Linked DNA regions of Rattus norvegicus. The protein of the gene in region 2 purifies or fractionates together with the protein of the main gene of each other region. This does not show direct contact. Links are inferred from orthologs where the notes say so. Each region holds a gene or a part of one and is shown on either strand. Other genes may lie near its edges.

Evidence for each region. The genes of interacting proteins can lie anywhere in the genome.
Region 1: the proteins of Prkar2b (region 2) and Cdk5rap2 purify together in Homo sapiens (affinity purification with mass spectrometry; 3 studies listed by BioGRID and IntAct, counting the BioPlex papers as one, with this or other methods). This does not show direct contact. The link is inferred for Rattus norvegicus from reciprocal best matches to the Homo sapiens genes PRKAR2B and CDK5RAP2.
Region 3: the proteins of Prkar2b (region 2) and Akap1 purify together in Homo sapiens (affinity purification with mass spectrometry; 3 studies listed by BioGRID and IntAct, counting the BioPlex papers as one, with this or other methods). This does not show direct contact. The link is inferred for Rattus norvegicus from reciprocal best matches to the Homo sapiens genes PRKAR2B and AKAP1.
Region 4: the proteins of Prkar2b (region 2) and Akap11 purify together in Homo sapiens (affinity purification with mass spectrometry; 3 studies listed by BioGRID and IntAct, counting the BioPlex papers as one, with this or other methods). This does not show direct contact. The link is inferred for Rattus norvegicus from reciprocal best matches to the Homo sapiens genes PRKAR2B and AKAP11.

The regions. Positions count from the first base shown.
Region 1 is NC_086023.1:88,965,898-88,969,397, forward strand, and holds part of Cdk5rap2 (CDK5 regulatory subunit-associated protein 2), read right to left. Parts: intron 3,264-3,500; coding exon 3,196-3,263; intron 729-3,195; coding exon 661-728; intron 1-660. UniProt on the Homo sapiens protein: Potential regulator of CDK5 activity via its interaction with CDK5R1. Negative regulator of centriole disengagement (licensing) which maintains centriole engagement and cohesion. Involved in regulation of mitotic spindle orientation.
Region 2 is NC_086024.1:54,301,412-54,304,911, forward strand, and holds part of Prkar2b (cAMP-dependent protein kinase type II-beta regulatory subunit), read right to left. Parts: intron 3,169-3,500; coding exon 3,015-3,168; intron 1-3,014. UniProt on the Homo sapiens protein: Regulatory subunit of the cAMP-dependent protein kinases involved in cAMP signaling in cells. Type II regulatory chains mediate membrane association by binding to anchoring proteins, including the MAP2 kinase.
Region 3 is NC_086028.1:74,127,367-74,130,866, forward strand, and holds part of Akap1 (A-kinase anchor protein 1, mitochondrial), read right to left. Parts: intron 1,850-3,500; coding exon 1,716-1,849; intron 330-1,715; coding exon 203-329; intron 1-202.
Region 4 is NC_086033.1:60,323,838-60,327,335, forward strand, and holds part of Akap11 (A-kinase anchor protein 11), read right to left. Parts: coding exon 3,396-3,498; intron 626-3,395; coding exon 485-625; 3' UTR 1-484. UniProt on the Homo sapiens protein: Binds to type II regulatory subunits of protein kinase A and anchors/targets them.

The sequences.
Region 1 (3,500 bases), on a different chromosome or scaffold from region 2:
AATTAAGAAAAATCTCAAAAGAATAATCATTTTCAGACAGGCGATGGTGGCTCACACCTTTAATCCCAGCACTTAAGAGGCAAAAGCAGGCAGATCTCCAAGTTTGAGGCCAGTCTAATCAACAGAGCGTGTTCCAGGACAGCCAGGGATACACAGAGAAAGCTTGCCTCAAAAAACAAACCAACCAACAAAAATATTCATTTCTAAAAAGTGAATTTGAATCCCACTTCTGTCTTTTACGTATTTAGTATCTGACCATAAATCAGTCTCCCCTACTTTGACAACCCCTTTGTAAAATGGGGCCAATATAAAGTACCTCAGAGTTGCAGCCAGGACCAATGAGGGCTTATGAATCCTGTGTCTATGATATTGTCAGCTCTATTTCACCACACAATAGAGCAACCCTCTCATCTACAATACAGCAGAAACAAGCCAATTACCAGGCAGAACCTACCAAAACGTGTATGAAACAACTTGTGTGTGCATGTAAAAGCCTCACAGAAAACACCCTTGGGCCATCAAGCCCCACAATATGGCATCCCTTTGCCTCTGACATTACTCAAACAGTTCTCAAGAAACACCTCTCTCCCAAGCCTGGCTACATGGTGGGAGCTGACATGACCTTTTAGAAAGGGATAATGAGTTGGTGTCTTCACTTACGTTTTCAAAGTCCTTCATGTTCCGGGCTCTGGTGGGAGAGACCTTTTCTTCTGACATGATTGGGAGCACTATAGAAAGATTAAACACACAAAGGAAATCATCAAACAAGCAGGCTGTATGGCATTCCTGCTGGGGCTGAGAGCCCAGAAGAGAGTCAGAGTAGCCTTGTGGGCAACTTCCTGCTTGCTGGTCTTTACTGATGTGAGTTCAAAGAATGCTCCAAGTTAAATTATTCTCAATATTGACAAAGTATTTACATTGGCTCTGATGTAACCACATATGTCAAGGGATAAACCCAAAACTTACATGGGACATGTGACAAAGCATGTCATTCCTCCTCACACGTCAGTAACTGAGGCAGCCTGACTGACTTGACAGCAGAGTTAGCAAACGCTTTCATAAAACACCAATGACTATTCCAGGCTTTGTAGGCCACACGCACAGCCGAAAATCCGTCATGTCTCTACAACATCTACTGCCACACGAGGACAACAGCCTCATAAAGTGAATCATAAACACAGAGCCTATGTTCCAAGAAAAGTTTGTTCTTACAAAAGCAGGCAATGGTGGGAAACTCCAACCCTGCTGACCACAGGCCTTGCTGGGACCCAGTCTCTGCAGAGCTTCTTTAATTCATTAAACATTTACCACACACCTGCCCTGCCCTGCACTGAGCACCAGTCTGCACTTTGGGAAACAATAGTGAAGGGGACAGTGCACCTGCACCAGCTTCCCAGGCAAGTGGGCAAAGCAGAAGAAAACAAATGTCATGATGCTGGTTAGTGTGTATCAAGTGACTGAACATTCACTCTCTGACAAAGCTGCACTGAGAAGCTGCTTCCTGCCAAGACTTTCTGGGTCTACCTACACCAAGAAACAAATAGATCTATTCTAGAGGAAGGAAAGAAACAAAACAACTGGGTGATCATGTGCTAGGCTAAAAGGTGATTTGGGATGGAGAAAAGTAAAGCAGGAGGGCTGGTCTTGCAGGCTCGGCTAACTGATGCACTGCTGTTTGGAGGACTGAAAGCAATGTGAACAGATTAAGGCTCCCTCTGGCTGCCTTTCTGAGAACAGACACTGAGGAGTTCAGGAGAGGAACAATGGGAACAGCTGCAATGACACTGGGATAACCCAGGCCAAAACCAGGCCCTGGTCTTTGGCCGGGATGGGAAGAGTACAGATGGGTGAGAACATGTTTGCTTCTGTATACTTGCATAGATGTTGTCAAGGTTTGTATATGCTCAGTCGAGGGAATGGCACTATTAGAATGTGTGGCCCTGTTGGAGTAGGTGTGTCATAGGCGTGGGCTAAGACCCTCACTCTAGCTGCCTGGAAGTCAGCCTTCAGATGAAGATGCAGAACTCTCAGCTCCTCCTGTACCATGCCTGCCTGGATGCTGCCATGATGATACTGGACTGAACCTCTGAACCTGTAAGCCAGCCCCAATTAAATGTTGTCCTTTATAAGACTTTCCTTAGTCATGGTCTCTGTTCACAGCAGTAAAACCCTAAGACAGGGGCTAAAAGGAATAAGAAAAGTGAATATATATAATGCTCAGAGGAGAGAGGATGAAGTAACCAGGGAGAGGCAAAGAAGGTGGTGTGCTTTGAGCTGAGTTCTCAACTCAGCAGGCAGCTGCAGGCAGAAGAGAAGGCCCCAGGCACAGGCCAACTGGGAGCAGAGAGAGTGTGCAGAGCCCTGTACGTCTGGCTGAGGAGCACAGAGGTTTTCTGTCCTCAGTCGGTGCTCAGTCACCTGTGTCAGGGACTTTCATCCCGTCCTTCCCCTACCTCAGTTCAGTGCCAAGTCTCGGCTCCAGTGACCAGTCTCTTGGGAAATGCTCACCTGACTCCCTTACTCTCCCATTCCTCTCACAGCACCTAACTCTTCTCTGTTCTAACCTGCATCAATGGATTTATCAGAGAAACTTCTCGTCTGTCTGTTCTCCGTCTGAAGGCACTGGCATTCCATGTTGAATCCCAATGCTTAACCAGAGTCTGGCAAGAAGTGCAAGTACAACGTGTGCTGAATTAAGGGTAGGCCTCAGAACTTTCTATTCACTGGACACTTTGTTTCAAGGAAAACTTACCAGGTCCCAGAGGAAAACCTGGGGATGGCCTATTAAGTAATAGTGTTTCCTAGAAATAAACCTTCTCATTCTGTCTGTCTTCCAAAGCTTCTGTTTGTTTGTATCTCATAATTTTAGAGAAGAGAAAAAAAGCACAAGTGAAAGTATCTCAAAGATAATTCAACAAGGCAAACTATCAGCACTCCCCACTTACTTCGGATAGCATGTACTTCTTTCAGAATGAAAATGATGAAGAATGCAAAACCCAGAGTGCAATCTCCCACACTCCAGTTTAAACATGAAGAAGGTTGAGAGCCAATTAAGACACAACGTGTACAAGATGCTGAGTGCCCACTGGGTGTCAGGCCAGGTAGGCCCTAGGCCCCAGGACAATATACTGTGTCAGGTCACAGATGCTCATGGTCTCAGCCTGCTCCCCTTTACTTCTGGGCATGTACACTTACCTCCATTTCCCAAGCCAGTAGTGTCACTGATGACATCCAGATCACTTGGTAGAACAGGGTGAAGGCCACTAGGAAAGAACACAGTGGGATGAAAGTTGAACTAGCACTTGAACAAAAGGGCCCTGTAGGGCAGTCTGAACCTCATGGAACAGTATTGGGCTGTGGCTAAGAAGGACTAAGGCACTGAGCTGCCCAGGAGACAGGAAGAGTTGAAATTAGGCTTTGGAGCTCTAGCTTTAGAACTGCCTTCCAGCTCTCACAGCTGAGAGACATTCATGGGGGACAGTCATTTCGCTGTTCACTCT
Region 2 (3,500 bases):
TGTCTAGTGAAATACATCTAAAAGTATCCTGTGTGACTGTCATATACAGTCAGATTTGGGAAGCAGGGACATTTTAAAGATAGACCGTTGTCATTGTTGTTGTTGTTGTTGTTAAAACAGAGAATTCGTGAAATAGTTCAGTCACTTAGAAGTAAATCATGAACTGTGTATCTCAGGATGAAATGGTCCACCATATCACAACCCACCCTGACCCAACAAATTCAGGAAGCCCAATTTCAAACACTTTCTTCCCAGTTACAATGGCCTTTCTGCATCACTGTAGTGGCCATGTCTCCAGCTAATCTCTAGGGCTAAGAGCTGCAGGATGCTATTTCCGGAGTGAGGCTCTAGGATGAGGACTCTTCTCTGCCAACTGCTTCTCTTTACAACAGCACTTACAACCACTGGGCTGCAGGCTGTGGACCCTCACATTTCTGCTCTGCCTCGACTTCCCCTAGAAGGGACTGGCTATGCGAATTGCTCTTAAAAAGCTAGTTTCTAATATAATGAAAACACATGTTCACATTATAATTTTAAAAATATTGCATGTTTGCATGCACCAGAAACTGTTTATAAATGTCACTAACATGTATACAGCACCAAAAGAATCTCTGGAATTTTTCTTAGGAGCTTAAGAATTATGCAGACAAAAACTCCAAGCCCTTTGTACCTTGGTTACCATTAGCATCAGGGTTGAAAGTTCCATGCTTGGGGACTGGGGGCGAAGGGGGGTGGATCTGAAAATGTATCCTGGATCAAGGATGCTTGAGGATACCTTGTTCCCGTCTGGCACCATGACTCTGACTGGCAACTCCAGTGGGACTACCACATCTTAGGTTACACTTTCTGTAATAGGCAGGTCACGGTGGACACAAGTTAACCCCCACGAGCCCCCCCACACACTGTGAGTCCTCCCTGCACACAGAGGTCTGCTCTGCTGCAGCTGTCCTCTGTTGGTTTTAAGTCATCCTTAACATCCTAGGCGATGTGTTTCTTTCTACATGAAAGACTCTCCATTTTTTTTTATCCTATAACTGACTTATTTAATAGGTATACAATGACTGCGTGGCTCCAATAAAAAGAAAATTTAAGTATCCTGTTTTTTTCTTTCCAGTGAGATGTTTTATGAGTCCAAGGCTGAGATGAATGCTGTGTACATACATTCTGTAACACAGTAACCCTCTGAAACGGGACAGTTACAACCTCTTGTACAAAGAGCTGAGGAGAACCCTAACACCTGCATGTCAAGAACACGAGACGTTTTGTGTCCCAAACAATCCTCTGTGTGGCCTGGGGTGAAGTGTGACACCAGGCAGTTCGGACACCTCCTGGGAGCTGATTCCAAGCAAGTCCAGGCTCACCTTAGATCACAGATGTGGAGTCTGCGGGGTGGTGAGTGGGTTCCCAAGCTTACCAGAGACGGAGCCCCACCTTAAAGCCATCGTCAGTTGTTAGTACTTAAGCCCTGCACTGTTACCTTGTGGAAGAGTCCACACAGCTTCTCTAGCTCCTCAGCCAAATGTGTCTGTGAACCAACACTTAACAGAATTTCTACCGTTAAGACATTTATTTATAGAGACAGACTGAGAATCTCTTGTCTGAAATACTTGAGACCAGAAGTGTTTCAGACTTTAGAGACCATCCCCCGCCCCCAACACTCCACCATCCAGTCTCCCCCACGCCTCCCCCATGCCTCCCCCACTCCCGACTGCCCAGATTCTGAAGAATCCTAACACGGTAGCATGGAAGCATGTTTGAGGTTCATATATATCTCATATACCTGGCTAAAGGTAAAGTTCAGGAGCGTAATGCCTCCTGCAGTTGACTGGCCTGTAATATTAAGTGAGGTATAGAGTTTTACAGTTGTGGAATCATGTTGGCACTCAAAAAGCATTTCAAGCTTTGAGTTTCCGGATTAGGACTGCTCAGTCCATCCTACACCCACGTCCCACCCAAAGAGACTGGTTAGCTTTGTGTACAATTGAGGCAAGATTTATTTTCCAGTATCCGAGATGAAAAGAATGGGTGTTTTACTCAGATTGCCCATGAGCAGAGAGACCACCGAGAGAACTGTTCTGCTGCTGTTGTTTGTGCTGCTTGCTGTTTTCCCATGCCTTTTCAAAGCGCAGCACACATCAGGACCACATGAAAGGTGTCTGCCAGTATAGGACTGCTGAACCCCCTTTCCAGAGTCCTGGGGGCCTGGGATGTTCCTAACAAGTTCCCAGTTGTGACTTTCAGTCTGAAAACCACTGACTTACAGACTATAGGACTTACCTCAGAGATCTAGTTAAGAAAAAGGCTGTGTGTGTGTGTGTGTGTGTGTGTGTGTGTGTGTGTTACAGTATTCATGCTTGTTGGTTGAAGGTATGTACATGCATGTGATCGGAGGCTCATGCACAAATGCACATATGAAATATACTTATAGGAGCCAGACACTGATGTCAGATGTCTCTCCCTCCTGGGTTGCTCTCCACTTCTGAGACAAAGTCTCTTACTGAAAATAAAGTTCACTGACTTGGCCAGACTGGTTAGCCCATGAGCTTTGGGATCTGTGTGTGTCTGCACCTGCTTCCCCCATCGATACTGCAGTTACGGGCACGGGCCACTGTGCTCAACTTTTTACACTGGTTCTGGGGATCCAAACGCAGACCCTCATTGGCGTCCAGCAGGCACCTTACTGACTGAGCCATCTCTCCAAGCTGCTGTGGCTTGTGGATTTTAAGCATGGATAAGAGAGAGGCAATTAGGATCGGATGTCATTCCCAAGGGCCAGTATATTCAAGCTCCTGACTTGGGGAGAGACAGGACATAAATCTTTGGTTCAGCATAGACTAATGGTGTGGCAAGTAGCAGAGGCTTAACAAGTGCCAATGACTCGTGATCACAAATAAAACTACCAATTAAAATTAAAATACAGTATCGATGCTATCTTTCAACAGTAGTTGAAAATATCTACTGTCATGATATTTTCAAAACTAATATCATTTGGGTCAAGCAAATATTTTACTCACCAAACCCCACAGAGCACCAGGAGAGGTAGCAGTGATTGTAGCTGCTCTGGGTGTATTGTACATTAAGGCCAGTTCTCCAAAACTCCCACGATTGTCATAGTTACCAACGCATCTTCCAACGCCATCACATTTTACATAAATATCAAATGTTCCTCTGTTGGAGATACACAAATCCACATGGAAATCAGAGACACTGTGACCCGGGTAGCATCTAATTACAGTGCAGCCGTGCTTCAGAGAAGAGCCCTGTGCAACACAATCATGTTGCCCCCCATCCCCCTCCCCCGCCTGTCCACTGATAACAGCATGTGCTCCTCTGTTCCACACCTGTGCAGAAGGCCATCAGCTACACTAGGGACAAGGACAGGGAAAATGGACCTAAACAAACAAAGTTAAAATCAGTGATGGAGTGTGTACGGAAAGGCATCTACGGAACGTACGCCAAACACTAGCGGGACTTATCTCAGACAGTAAGAACCGTGAAGT
Region 3 (3,500 bases), on a different chromosome or scaffold from region 2:
AGACATGGTGCAGAGGGGCAGTCTCCCACAAGCACCCGAACCGGAGGAGTCTGTAGGAAGACACCCAGCATGCCCTCTACCTAGAAACCCACAGTTTCTATTTAAAAGCTAAACTTCCAAATGGACAGCTGCAACCAGGAAGCTACTGCCTTGTGTTGAATTCAGGCGAGGGAGCCAAGCACAGGGCACCACCGCCACTGACCTTCTATGTGGCAGATCTGGATGTTCTGTGTGTAAGGCAGGGTGGAGATGTAGATCTTGGCACCAGACGTCTGCTTCAGAAAACTCACGTACCGTCCCTGCTTGCCAATCAGTCGACCAACTAAATGCTTCCAGGGAAAGAGAGAGGTAAGGATGACAGGAAACCAACTCCTCGCTGCCCAAGGACCCAGGCTTAGTCAAGCTCACACCATTCGTTTCTGTCAGCATGTATTTTTCAGAACTGTTCTAAGCACTTATGCTCACTATGTACCTACGGATAGACAACTTTATCATCTTCCACATGAAGAGAAACAAGCTGGGACATGCTCTGGAACCCACACAAGCCCACACAGCTGCTAAGCAGCTGAAGGGGACAGCCTGGCCCAGGACTCAGCATCTCATTCTAACAGTATGTCCCAGACCAGGAATATTACAGTACCCCTCCTACACATGCATGCACTCTTAATAATCCACTGCTCTAAGGGCTGACTCTCATTCTGAACATCCCTGCCACTCCAAGTCCACCAGGGGCCACAGACAAAAGAGCTGGTTGGACAACGAAAGCATGAGAACACTCAAGACTCCCACCCCACCACTAAAGAAGAGCAAGTACATACAAGTGCCCAGTGCACCAGAACTCCAGGCAAACAGAAGACGCCAGACTTAAGCATAGTGTAAGGCAAGCCCTGCAACAATTCCTAATGACCCCAGCCCTGGAGGGTGGCAAGGGACATGGTCCCTACTCACCCAGAGCCTGCCTCACTATGCCCTCTGTGACCACCGAGGGCAGGATTGATAACAAGGTCACTAGGGAAAGAAACTACCACGGGAGCCAGCAGCCCGGGGTCAGCCTAGGAGTCTTGACCCAAAGTTCAGACTCAGCTTGGAGCCAAGTGCCCTGGGGATTAAGCAGTCTGCCAATTACTTTTGAACCCCAGTGACAAACACTAGTAAGCGGTTAAGTTCTAACAGCAAGGGGCTAGAAACTACTTAGGCGCTGGGGACTGGTGAAGCACCTCGCATTCCTACGATGAACAATGCAGTTAAAACAATGTTTTTAAAGACTAGCACAGGAAAATTAAGTTGCTAAAAATTTAGAAGTATTAGTTAAGACACCACAATCTTGGCTTGTTTAACAATCACAGGGTGTGAGGTGAGAGGGAACACAGCCGCTCGGGGTTGGCCTGCCTGCCTGCCTTTGCTTCTGCCTCAGGCTTTCTGTACTCTACAGCAGCTGACACTCTGCCCAGTTATCGAGTCCACCTCACAGTGCAGAGCAGGGAGACTCTGGCGTTCACTCCTCTGACTGACATTTGCTAGTATACAGAGAAGACCTAAGCCCCAGCCCACACAGAGGAGCCTGGGGGACCCAGCAAAACAGGGGAGGGAGGAAAGACAGTCTGCAGCTTCCCAGCCTGGTCATCTAATGTAATTTGCTGACATCCTTTAACCCTGGCATTGAAAAATTTTGAGCTCCCACAGAATCCAGCCTAAAGGAAAGTCACTGCCCTTACCTTTGGCACCTCGATCTCCCAGATGATGAGGTCAACCTTCTTAGGGTTGGAGCCTGCCTGGACAGTCTGGGGGCTATCAGGTTTCGTAAGCCCACAACAGCTATCCACTGAATCCATACTGTTCCCGTCAGAACCTGCAGGGGAGGAACGACATATATACACACACAGACACCAGCTCACAGTAACTATCACAGCTTCCCAAATTTATAATACTGGGAGGCCCTGCACACAGACACCCCTCTGCAAGCTTGGCAGATACCACAGACTAAAAGGCTCAGGAAACCCAATGAAAGGAGGCTTAGGGTACCCATGCACCTAATTTTAGCCTGTCACTGAACAGTCCTGCCTGCTTCTTTGGCAGCCGTGCCTCGCCACAGCTGCTGGGCAGACACACACGTGGTAAGCTAGGAAGAGGCACTCTCTATACCCAGGGAGGGGCTTATACAGGGTATATCGGGGAGGGGAGCCAACAAGATGACTCACAGATCTGCAGTTCCAGGAGCAGGCCTTGACCTTCCTGTCACGATCACCTCGATCCCTTTCCAAATGTCCCAGGCCCTCAGACCAAGGATCTCTAGTCTCCAAGGCCCAGGCTTGGGGGGAGGGGGTGTTCTGGGGTACTTGGGCAATCACAGTAGGAAAGCCTTCTGAGGGTCCCATTCTCAGGACAAAGCCAGGTGGGCCTCCTCCCTTCCCCTCTGGAACTGGCTCTGAATATGGGGTGGCCCAAACAGCCCAAACAGTGAGAGAAACCAAACACCAAACCAAGAGAACAGTGGAGAATGTGACTCTGGAACCAACACAGGCCATTCCACTCTTCCCCAGGACCATTGCAAAGAAGGAAGAAGAAGAAGAGAGAAGAAAAAGGAAGAGGGGAGGGGGAGGGGACAAGAACAAGAGGAGGAGGAGGGGGGAGGAGGAGGAAGAGGAGGAGAGGAAGAAGAGGAAGGGGAGGAGGAGGAGGAAGAGGTAGAGGAAGAGGAAGAGGGGGAGGAGGAGGAGGAAGAGGGGACCAAATAAGCACCAAGGACCATTCAGCGCAAGTTAGGAGATCCGGTCCTGACTGAAATACCAAACTCAATGGCCTGAAATAAATCACTCCTGTAAGCAACTAATTAGGCTATTTTCCACCTGGTTTCTCCCAACTCAGGACATAATTCTTTTCCAAGCAATCCACATCTGGATATAAAAGACTATGGTACTCTCTGTTCCCAGTCAAGGAAGAGACCTCCAAAGCGATCTCCCTTTGAGGGACCTCCCTCAACACTAGGTTTACGGCAGAGAACCCCACCCAAGAAACCCCACCTTGGGCAGCCATCTTGAGGTAGAATGAGCTGGTGAAGGTTTTACTACCACAAAGCCCCTAACCTCTGTCCAAGAGAAGTAGACTAGCCAATATGTGCATGCCAGTGGCTCCCAAGAGTGACTCAGAACCATACCAAGCCTTTAGCAGGCTGCATTCATTGACTTTCCAGCTCCCTCATCCCGTCCCCCCGTACCAGCTCCCTTAACTTCAACCTCAAGGGAAGCACATACAGCGGTGCTAAAGCCAACCTGAAAACACCAGTGCTGCTTGCACCCACTGAGAGCTCAGCAGTTACAACTCCCTGGCTATGACTGATGGGCTACCCTGCCTTCCCATCCACTGATTATGGTCTCTTCTCTAAAGCTATGCTCATAAGCCTCAGGCATCTGCACAGCTACCACAATCCATCCAGAGCTGCCACAGGCTGAGGGCTCATTTATTACAATGGGCATCAGACTCCTTTATTCTTAAAATGTTTT
Region 4 (3,498 bases), on a different chromosome or scaffold from region 2:
CTCAGTTTTCTTTCTTCATGTCAGATGACTTATCATTAGACACCACTTGTTTTCAAAGGAACCAAGTGATCACGTGGGCCAGGCCAGCCGCCTCAGCCCTGTTTGCAGCAGCAGCAGCAGCAGCAGCAGCAGCAGCAGCAGCAGCAGCAGCAGCAGCAGCAGCAGCACTATGTGAATCCAAACAAATGCTGTCAGACAATGAATGCCCCAGCCTCGGGTGAGGATAGATCGTCCTTCACAGAATATTATCTCCAGGTCATAACACATACACATATACAGAAGAATAAGTAAAGAGAATATCTTGACAAAGATTACAAAAGTATGAACTATATACAGTGTAATGACAGAAAGCACTTAAAAAGCTTACTTTCCTCTCAATTCAATTAAAATGTTAATATTCTGTATTTGAATTTTATCCTACATGTAAATCATCAACTTTTTTACTTCCTAAAACAAGCACTAAAGTACACTGCCCTGCGGTGTGCTAGGCATTTTCTAAAAGCCAATCAAACAGCGACGTGCACGTGTCCTCGCTTGAGGCTTTGGCCACCACTTCGTAGTATTTCAGCACAGCCTGCAGGACATCGCCCACTTTCCATCCTCTCTCCTGTAACTGCTTTGAAAGCTAAGAAAGAAGGATTAACAGAAACATTAATATACATTAACAAAAAACAATCTGAGGCAACAAAGTTTTTATTTTTATCTTCAGACAAAACTGGGAATCCTGCAGTTTACCATGAAATTTTCTTTTCCAGTTATGCCATCTCCTCCCAACCACCAGCCCTTTGCCCAAATTGAAACAAGTCTCCACAGAATGACACTTCAGGATTGCCGGAAACAGAACGCAAGCCTTGGCAGTGGACAGTCTGCATGGGAATGCAGAGTAACTGTGTACAGGAAAATTCTTCACCTAACTAAATACATCTGCCACAACCTCAATTAGGAACATAAAATAATAACAACAATGTCAAGGTTAATAAAAGGATGGAGATTTTCTTTCCAAGCATATAGTATGGTTTATATTCTGGAAAACACTTCAGCCTCAACAGAAGCATGGCTTTCTAAGTTAAGAAATGTGATGTCTGAACAAAGAAGCAAGCAAAAGAATGAACAGGGATTAGGCAAACTCTACCACTGCAAAACAGAACCTGACCTTACTTTCCTGTTTATTCAACTATGTAAGAATTCTTAAGTTTTAAAAGGCCTGTAAAATAAATTCTGAAAAACTATTTTACTGGAAATGTGCTTTTCTTTAAACAGTTTTGAGATACAATTCACAGTCCATGGGTTTTAGTACATCACTGAACTGAAGACAAGTCCACACAGTCAATACTGGATGCTCTCTCCTCATACCAGGAGAAAAGCCGTCTGTATCAGAAGCCCCTCTCCATCCTCTATAGCACCTTGTAAAGCGCTCATCTACTTGGGGTCTCATAGCTGTGCCTACTTAGAGGTATGTCATAGAAATGGAACTGTGAACTCTTGTGTGTGTGTTTGGCTTAGCATAGTTATCTTGAAGTAAAGCAAGACTCAGTGCCTTACTACTTTCTACTAACCAACAAAGCTCCTTCTCCATTCATTAGCTGATAAGACAGATGGGAGACTGCTCACTGTTCAAGACAGGGTCTTACTATGACCAGAACTTGCTTAATTTAGATCAGGGTGACCTCAACATACAGTAATCCTCCTGCCTTTGCTTCTGGTGTACTGGAAATTATAGACCTATACCACAAGCCTAACAAATGTTACAAATGTTACTTACCTACTATAAGTAATGCTGCCACAGACATTTCTGAGGTGGTTTTTGTGTACACACATGCTTTTGTGTTCCTCGAGTGCACACAAGCAGTGAAATGCTGGGTAACATGCTAATGTTGTACTTGGCATTCTGGGGAACTGTTAGGTGTTTTTCCACCACAGCTTCACCATTTTAGATTCTCACTGAGAACTGTAAGAAGAATTCAGGGTACCATGTCCTCCCACGCTTGCTGTTACCACCTGGACAGTCACCCTACTGCAATGTAGTGATTTTGATTTGCATTTTCCTAACGGCTAGTAAAGCTGAATACCCCTTCATGTTTTATTTTCCAAAGATAGGCAATAATAACACTAACGTCCATTGGCATTCTTTGTATGAAGAATACAAAATTATAAACATTTCTTCTCATATGTGAACTGTCTTCTCCCTTTGTTGACAATGTCTTTCTCTTTTGTTACCTAAAATGTTTATATCTTTTTTGACATACAATTGTATGTCATCTTCTGTTTATCCTCATGGTAATACTGTTTATTCTATTTAATCATGAAAATGTTGAATTTTAATATATGATCCAGAAAGACAAAGTATTTCTATTATTCTTACTACTATCAAACATAAGCTGTACTTGTCTTGACTGTTTCATACATCCCCAATAGCCTTGTGGAGTCCTAGCTAGATAGTCTCTGAGAGTCACTTCAGATGAGCCAATGTTAACATAATAAGACCTTGCCATCCACAACTGAGCATTGTACTTGACTCAATCAGGCAAAGATCCCTGGGCGAGGTTACATGACGACAAGGCCTCCTCCTCTAACCACCTGTCAGCCCCATGTAGCCATGGTTTATCTTAAGCCACACTTCCACTTGATATTTCATTTCTTGAGTATTTCTTCCCAGACTATTTTCTCTCCTACAAACAGAAGTCTCAAGCTAATAAACTCCGTGTCGGAGCAGTCACATCCTTCACTGACATCTTCCAACAATAGTGTTTTAAGTTTTGAACCAGAAAATAAGAGTACCTTGGGTTATCCTTTCCTGTCCTTTTTTTGATTAATCTATATTGTTTAGTCACTGGACTGTTTTGTACTACAGCAAGGTTATAATTTTTTATATGGAAAACTGAGGAAGAACACTCTTAAAACTAAAACCTGAAAATCCCTACTAACAGCATGCTTGGTATATCTAAACAAAAGTATCTAATCTCGTATTGGTTTTTCATTACACAAGCCTTCTATTTACATAAAGATGAGAAAGACCTAATTAATTAGGTACAATTATGAATCAGAGAAATAGAATAGCTAGATCTTTCCTCAAGAATTCATTAGCTGCTTATTACTGACATCTAACTTCTAGGGTTAGGATGTTAGACCAAGTCCTTGCTCTTTACAGTATTGTAATTAATCCTCACAAACCTGTACAGTAAATTCTATGTGCCTCTAATCCCACATGCAACTAAGGAAACTAACTCATCTGCCCACGGTGAGTTACCTACCCAAGTGTCAAACCAGAACCCGACTGTAAGACTCCTACATATTAATATTCTGCAGTCAACAAGCATTTTGCTAAACCGACAAAGGAGTTAGGATTATTACATGGCATTGTTTCCTCACAACCACTCTAGAAGGGAGGTACTTACTAAGACAAACTCCTTCTTTGCAGAGTCCTGAAAATAAAGTTCTCTAACTTCCGCCTCCGAGGCAATGAGCCACTGAAGAATGACCCTGAGCTGAGGGTCCACC